Linked DNA regions of Danio rerio. The protein of the gene in region 2 binds, or shares a complex with, the protein of the main gene of each other region. Links are inferred from orthologs where the notes say so. Each region holds a gene or a part of one and is shown on either strand. Other genes may lie near its edges.

Region 1 (4,032 bases), on a different chromosome or scaffold from region 2:
CTATGTAATCAAAAAAATGATGTGTCTATTTTGTGTCCGACACATTAAATATAGCATTTTAAAATACTAATTTATTTTAACATGTGAACAACAGCATACAGAACATCAGCACATCTTCAAGCACCTGCAGCATTTCCAACGGCTAGGAAAAACAGAATAAACTAAATAAAAAGAATCAAAAAATATTCCTGCCCTAGATATCTTTCACTTAAATGACAAGTTTAGAATACAAAATGAAAACACTGACTGAATCCTTTTTAAGAACCGGCAGATGTTGTTTGTCCAATCACGTTTTTTCTTCCGTTAAATAAAAATAGCAGGCTACCTAAAATAGATCGCTCCACAGAAAATATGCATCGGAACTCGACAACTGAAACTCTGCTTTTATTTGATTGGGAAAAAAAAAAAAAAACACGAAACTGACATAACATGCCTTTTCTGCTCAGAGTTGACCTTTTTCAACAGCGAGTACACAGCACACAACAGCTAAAATGTGAGGCGTGCAAGGCTCCGCAAAACGCTCAAGGCCCATTAGAAAACCATTCAAAAGATGCCGCTCTTAACACAAAAAGCGTGTTTGCTGTGATTGACTCCTTATGCAGCCAAACTTTTTAAATACATGCAATATTGTTTATCAGTTAAAAACACACCCTTTCGGTTAACGATTAATAAGAGTATCCCTATTCTGAAATGCTTATCTCTTAAATATTTAGCAAATTCTCATTGCTTTTTCATTCTATATTTGACAGCAGCACAACTGCTGAAATGACCCCATAGACTAATTTAATTCAAGCACTTCCAAGGATTAGTGTTAGTTTTGAAGAATTTTCCAGTCCTTGAATTTGTATGTCTGAAATTCAAGAAGAGTGGGAACCCTGAATATAAAGCATGAGGCAAGACAATAAAGTATTTATTTTGACATCATTTTAACTAATAACAAGCCCAAGTAGATTATACATATGCTGTGTGTCATTTGGATGCAGACTTCAAAGGTGAGTCCTCACAGGCCAAACAGAGCATTCTGAACTGAGATGATCTAGCCTACAAAGGACAGATCTCATCACCTAGAATTTATAATAAAATTTGAAATGACTTTTTTTTTATTGATTTAAAAACATATTTTAAGCAATCTGAAGGCAAAGCAAGGTTTACAAAAGCTGGGAGTCTAATTCCTTAAATCCAAACATGTAGACTTAAAAATGTAAACTGTCTATAACAGGGGTCACCAATCTCAGTCCTGGAGGGCCGGTGTCCCTGCAGGGTTTAGCTCCAACTTGCCTCAACACATCTGCCTGGATGATTCAAGTATACCAAGTAAGACCTTGATTAGCTTGTTCAGGTGTTTGATTAGGGTTGGAGCTAAAATCAACAGGACACCGGCCCTCCAGAAACAAGTTTGGTGACCACTGGTCTATAAAATCACTTTTTAGTAAGACGCAGCACCCTTTGAATACATCCTTCAGAGGATGCAGCCCATGAGTTCAAAATGTTACTTTTTATTGGAATTCCTTTGTTTCTGACATTGACTTGAAAAAATATGACTCATTCTAAATAGCTACTTGAAAAATAAGATAAAGGAAGTTTCATCTAGAATTATTCATTGTACATATCCAGTGAATACTCTCTTAGTAAGATTCCTTACTATGGGAAAATGTTTGGTTTGGCTAATTATAAAAAAAAGAAACTTTACATGGAAAAAAAAATCTTAATCTTTTTATCTTATTATGAAAATTTTATTTATATAAATGTAAATTTTCAAAACCAATACCTTTTTAAAAATATTTTGCTTAGTGCAGTATTACTTGAAACTAGTCAAAGGCTTTTTTTTTTGTATTTTTTTCTTCTCGATTCTCTTTATAATTTACTCTGATTGTATATTCTCAATTTAATAATAATAATAATAAAATATGCAACCTCTGAAATGAAATTAGAGTTACACTTACATCTCTGTGGTCCAGGCTCATCTCCATCCTGTTCTACTGTGTCATAGTCCTCTCTGACTCTAGATCTGGCTCCTTCCTCTGAGAAATAAAGCAGCAAACATAAGCACATGATGCATTAAGACGATCATTTAAACGCGCGCGCACGCACACACACACACACACACGCACGCACACACGCACGCACACACACACACACACACACACACACACACACACACACACACACACACACACACACACACACACACACACACACACACACACACACACACACACACACACACACACACACACAAAACTTACCAGATCCAAATCCACGACCTTTCCTCTTCTTGGCTTTCTCTTTTAACTTATGAATGCTCTCTGAAAGACAAAGAAAAACAATCATTCATAAGGGTCATGCTAACCTGTTAACAAACACACTGTATGTAACGTTACATTTTAAAAAAGAAAACTTTTACAGAAATGATAAATGACTGAATAAAAAGTGAAGAGAACATTCTTTAAACGCGACTACAACATAGTACTAATTTTCCATAAGTTTTGAATCTAAATCTGTATTATTAGTAGTCTTAAAACGAAGATTGGCCGTCAAATACATTATTCTAAGGCCAGAAAACAAAAACAAAGCTGAATCACTACAACGCGCGACTGGTTTGAATCAGCTAACTATTAGCATGCGCGCTAAGAAGACAAGGCCGTCAGAAGAAAACACGAGTATTGCACACATTCACCACTAGTAATATTCTGATAAAACATATAATCACATAAATAAAGATCTATGCAACAAGTAAGTGTACATAAAAACTGTACCATCGCCATCCTCGTCCATAGGAAAGTCTTCGCCTCCCGCTTCATGAAGATCCAGTACGTCCGCCATGATGCTTGCTTGTGAGTGAGAAGCGAGTGAGCGGCTGTGAGCATGCGCAGAACACTCTATACGACACTGCGTCACATTCAAATGCTGGTCGAAAACCTCGCCGTCTGCTGTTTTGGAGGTGTAAAAGGAGAATACTGTTTTTTGTTTACTTAAAAAAATACATTTATTGTTAACGATATATGCAGAACAATTCTAGACTGTAAAACAGAATAGTTTGTTGCAATCGGTTTCCTCAAATAGTTTGAGTTACATTAACTTTTTGGGTTTGGCAGTGTAGAGGTGTACATAAAAAGATGCAGAGCATAACAGAGGTTTATATAACTACATAGACTCAATTGGTAAAACAAAGTAAAAAAAAATCAAATAATTAAATATACACATGTTCAAGGTTCAAATAAACTAGAAATTTCAATAGTTCAGACAAAGCAGGGTGAATCAGCTTTTTCAGCTACTATGCCCCCCGCTTCTGGAATCAAATCAAATCACATCAAATCAAATCAAATCAAATCACTTTTATAGTCAAATCATCAGCACCACGTGTGCTATGATGAGTGAAAAGCTTAGGTGCTGGCTCCAGACAGTACAAAATACAGATAGTGCAAAATACAACGAAAGTGCAAAATACAGACAGTACAAATACAACTGTGCAAAATACAACAGCATACTCCCCATACTTCCCCTCTGTGGGATGTGTTAAGTGTTCATCAGCCTGAAGAAACTTTCCTTAAGCCGGCTAGTGCGTGACTGGATGCTGCGGAACCGTCTGCCTGAGGGTAGCAGAGAGAAAAGTCCATGGCTTGGGTGGCTGGAGTCGCTGATGATTCTCTTTGCTTTCTTCATGCATCGCCTGGTGTAGATGTCCATGGAGGGAGGAAAGCTCACCTCCTACTATGCATCCAGCAGTTCGCACAATCCTATGTAGGCCTTTGCGATTGCTGCTGGTCCTATTTCCATACCGGAATCAGCTTCCAGAAATGATCAGATGTGCTCCACCATTAGGCACACTTAAATCAAGACTGAAAACACATCTGTTTAGCTGTGCCCCTACTGAATGAGCACTGTGCTCCGTCCGACAGATCGTACTATTGTTGTTCTCTTCTTTTTCATTCTTTTATAACCTTTTTTAAAATCATTTTTATTTTTGTTTTTATTTTTCTTATGCTTGTCTCTTTTATTTCTGTTTATGTAAATCACTTTGAATAGTGACTG
Region 2 (4,200 bases):
GTCCAGTTCACTGATGAGTGTCATGTCACCTTGCACAGAAATGTTGGTCGTCAGCGTTGCTGGAGAAAGCGAGGTGAGCGATAAGAACCACTCCTCACTGACAAAGCTCCACAATTCGTCCCATATATGAGCCTGTTAGTCCTATTTTGACCTATGCCATCATAAATAGTCAAAATAACCCATCGAAAAAAGCTTTAAGACCAAGCAGAATCCTCTGTTGGCTGTCGCTTCCAATAGTATTTGGATGCAGCCTTTATGATGCAAGCGATGTGAAGGACCAAAAAGTGGACCATATTAAAACTGATTTGAATACCAATTTGGCGATTGTTTTTATCCATGAATTTTCAAATGTACATTTTTTACAAGAGAGGCTTGAAAAAACTAAAAATTATATTTTATTTAGTTTATTAGGGGAAGATGTTAATATTCAATTTGTATTGAACAATTTTCTAATTTTGGAGAAATGTTATATTCATAAATACAAAAGCCTTAAAACAAAAGTTATACTGTAAATTTTTAAAGTTGGTAAAATCAAAACTAGGAAGAAGACTGTTTAGTTTATAATTTTTTTATTAAAAGAATTATTATTAATGTATTTGGTTTGCGTTTCTATTTTATGTTTACATTTTATTTGTTTGTATTATTTATTGCTTATTGATTTGATTATTATTTGTGTTCTGTTCTGTATTTGTAGATAAAAGTTGTTAATGGAATTTTGCCTTATTGTATTTGTGTTGGCAGCACAGTATTGCAGTGGGTAGCACAATCACCTAACAGCAAGAAGGTCGCTGGATCGAGCCTCAGCTGGGTCAGTTGGCATTTCTGTGGAGTTTGCATGTTTTTCCTATGTTTGCATGGGTTTCCTCTGGGTGCTCCGGTTTCCCCATAGTCCAAAGATACATTATAGGTAAATTGAATAAGCTAAATTGTCCGTATAGTGTATGAGTGTGTGAATGAGAGTGTATGGGTGTTTCCCAGTGATGGGTTGCAACTGGAAGGGCATCCGCTGCGTAAAACATATGCTAGATAAGTTGGCAGGTCATTCCGCTGTGGCAACCCCAGATTAATAAAGGGACTAAGCTGAAAAGTAAATGAATGAATGAATGTATTTGTGTAAAAAAGTACCATAACTGTTAACATGTAACGTTACTTACCTCAGAAAAGCAGAATAAATAAATATATATTGAACAATGAATGGGAAAAGGTGATGTGTATCATGTGACTTATTGAGAACTGCAGCTTTTAAATCCATAGTCGGATACAGAGCGACGAATGATTTCAGTGAAGTACCCAGTCGCTCGCGCGCCCTCCTCTGACGCGGCATAGAATTGGAGGATATGACGAACTCACGAGCCCCCACAATTCCCCGCGCAGATCCGCTTTCCCTTCCTTGAGAGTTAAGATGGCGGACCGGCGGCGACGGAGACGGCGCGCCTCTCAGGACAGCGAAGAGGAGGACGAGTCCGCCTCGGGTTCCGAGAGCGGGAGATCCTTCTCGGCTAGCCGGAAGACCCGCGGAAGAGAACCGGAGCCGGTGGAATCGCCAGCGGAGCGCGTCGCAGCCAAAAGCGACGATGAGTCGGAGTGTGTGAGTGTGTGACTATAAATCTGCTTTTATAATCAGGGGCGATCCGAGTCTGTGCGATGTGTTCTGTTCACACGGATTCAACTCGGAGTTCGTGTCGTTTAAGAACGGGTTAAGACGTAAAGCGAACGGAGACGGTTCATGTGATGCGATGTTTTTATATCTAGCTCTTGAGGAAAATGTTAGCAGGCGTTTATTCCTATCGGATATAACGTTGCAGTTCCTCATGGATCTGTGGTTCTCCTCGACAGTAAATATGAGGTTGACCTCATTTGACCTCAGATGTTTTGTTGACCATCTTCTAACGTGGTGATTCTTCATCCTGATCATTGAGGCCCCCTGTCCTGCAGTTTTTACATGTCTCCTTTTATTCTACACTCTTTATTTGGTTTATTTAGCTCAGTAGTATTTTATAGCACATAGAAGAGACTATTGTGTATGAAATGTGTGTTTTAGAAATAAAACTAGTGAAATGAATGTCTAGTGTCATTTGTAAGACCTCTAGGAAGAGAAGAGAGACATATTGATCACTAAACAATAGTACTTGTATGAAAGTGGGTTAATTTGTAAGTGTTGTGGCAGAAAACGGCGGTTTAGCTGAAGTATGATGTGCAAGATGTTTCAGGGTAGGTTTTGATAAGCAAGTGGATGATGTGGGTTAGATCAATAATTCATAGGCATCATTTTTTCTTAAGAGTCCTTGCTTGTCAGAATATCTGATTCTGTCATTCTGATCTCTTTTACTGTTTAGGTAAGTGAAGATGGCGTTGGTGAAGGTGAGTTTATTTTAAATTCTTTTTCTCACTGTTTTTTTTTGTGAGCTTGTCTAAAATGATGTCAATTGTATCAGCCTTTTTAAAAGAACCCCCACATATACTATAGTCTAATGATTAATGAAATGCAACAGTTTTAGTGTGCATGTGAATGTTTAAAAAAAAAAAGAGATCTTGTTTATCATAGTGCCTTAAGATTTGTCACTGGTTCAAGTGCACACACATCACTGTAATTTATATAAGAGGACAGAATGGACCTCATTACAGTTAAGGAGAAAACAACATATTTTAGTTTTAATTTTAAAGCTTTAGTTGGTAAATTACCACAGGAGAAATGTTCTAATACTTACAGTACCAGATCAGCAGATATACTCTTACTTAAGATGCCATTTTTTACACAGAGTTAGGTCGATCTGCATTCTCCAAGTATGCCCCATATGTATGGAATGAGCTTCAAGATATACTATGTATTAAAATCCGTACTATCTATCGCTGTATTTAAAAATCATTTTGAAGACTGTCATTTTAGAACATGTTTAACGATTGATTATTGTGTGTGTGTTCATGTGTTGTGATATGTATTTAATATTATTTTTTGTTAGAACTTTTTCTTATGCTGCCTGTCTTGACCAAGATTTCCTGGTAGAAGAGATATTGTATCTCAATGGGACATTCCTGGTTAAACAATTAAATAAATAAATGTGATTTCATTCACTTGCTAACAGGCTAAGTTGTTATGAATTACTAGTTTCATGTTGTTTGAACCCAAAATTGTGCACAGATTTGCTAAAATGGCTGATTTTTGATCTTCAGCAGTGTTATCTGACTATGACAGCGCTGATCTGGAGGAGAATGGATCGCACACGGAGGTAAGTCTCTATGGCAACTCCATTTTGTGGTCTTGTTGCGAAATCAATCAGTTCTTTACAAGACAATGGTGTGATGAATCTGTATACGTCCAGACTGGGCTGTCAGACTGCTTGCTGGTGTGTAGAGAGAACAAAATGTCTCGCTTTGTGGCCGATCTGTTTTGCTCCGTCATTGGGAAAGTGCTGTAGTTTCTTTGTGGAAAATCTAAATGTGAGCATTTGATTGTGATTTAACCATTTCAGTTTGAAATTGATAATTCTGATAAACAGTATTAGAAAAGATGCACACTGAGAGAGATGTTTGGTAAGAGAGTTTAATGGGGTTTTTGTTGAAATCGTGTCAGGAGTATTTTTGCTCATCTCTTGTGGCGTCATGAGTACTGCCAATGCCGAGCCCCATGCTGTTAGTGCATCTGTAGTCCTCATCTAATTTTAGTAGACATGGCATGACACACAATCCACACTTTTTTGCTGCTTTTACCCTATGCAAGTAGCGTTTTGATGATTGCAGGTCTCATTTTTAGGTAATTTAGACATATTAGCGAGTGCTATGGTTCATTGGTTGTTGTTTCACACCACTGAATAAGGCTGTAGTTCTCTGCTTATCTGCTTCAGTCTTGGCTGCTGATGTTCCACTTTGTTTGGTGTCCTAGCAACCCTTTCTATACCATCTTTACCATTCGGACTGACGTTAAGCAGACTTTAATTTACTGCAGACAAGCATAGTCTGCTCTGAGTTTCGAAATGCAATGTCTAAACAAGATTTTTAAACCTGGAATAGTTTTTGTTTTTAAGCTGATTGCACAGAAATTTGTGTTGCATGAGGACTAAGGCTACACATTGCTGGAAAAATAGACAATGTTGTTGTTGAGTGTTATAATTAGGAATGCTCCGATAAGGATTTTTGCAGCTGATACTGAGTACAATTTCCTTGTCATGGGGATTGGCTGAAAGAGTACAAATTCTGATCCTT

Evidence for each region.
Region 1: casc3 (region 2) and rbm8a share a complex: the UniProt entries of both Homo sapiens proteins name them as parts of the mRNA splicing-dependent exon junction complex. The link is inferred for Danio rerio from reciprocal best matches to the Homo sapiens genes CASC3 and RBM8A.

Annotation. Positions count from the first base shown.
Region 1 is NC_133191.1:50,390,073-50,394,104, reverse strand, and holds the start of rbm8a (RNA-binding protein 8A), read right to left. Parts: upstream 2,845-4,032; 5' UTR 2,824-2,844; coding exon 2,757-2,823; intron 2,307-2,756; coding exon 2,247-2,306; intron 2,022-2,246; coding exon 1,944-2,021; intron 1-1,943.
Region 2 is NC_133178.1:22,199,197-22,203,396, reverse strand, and holds the start of casc3 (protein CASC3), read left to right. Parts: upstream 1-1,388; 5' UTR 1,389-1,402; coding exon 1,403-1,588; intron 1,589-2,336; coding exon 2,337-2,361; intron 2,362-3,171; coding exon 3,172-3,227; intron 3,228-4,200. UniProt on the Homo sapiens protein: Required for pre-mRNA splicing as component of the spliceosome. Core component of the splicing-dependent multiprotein exon junction complex (EJC) deposited at splice junctions on mRNAs.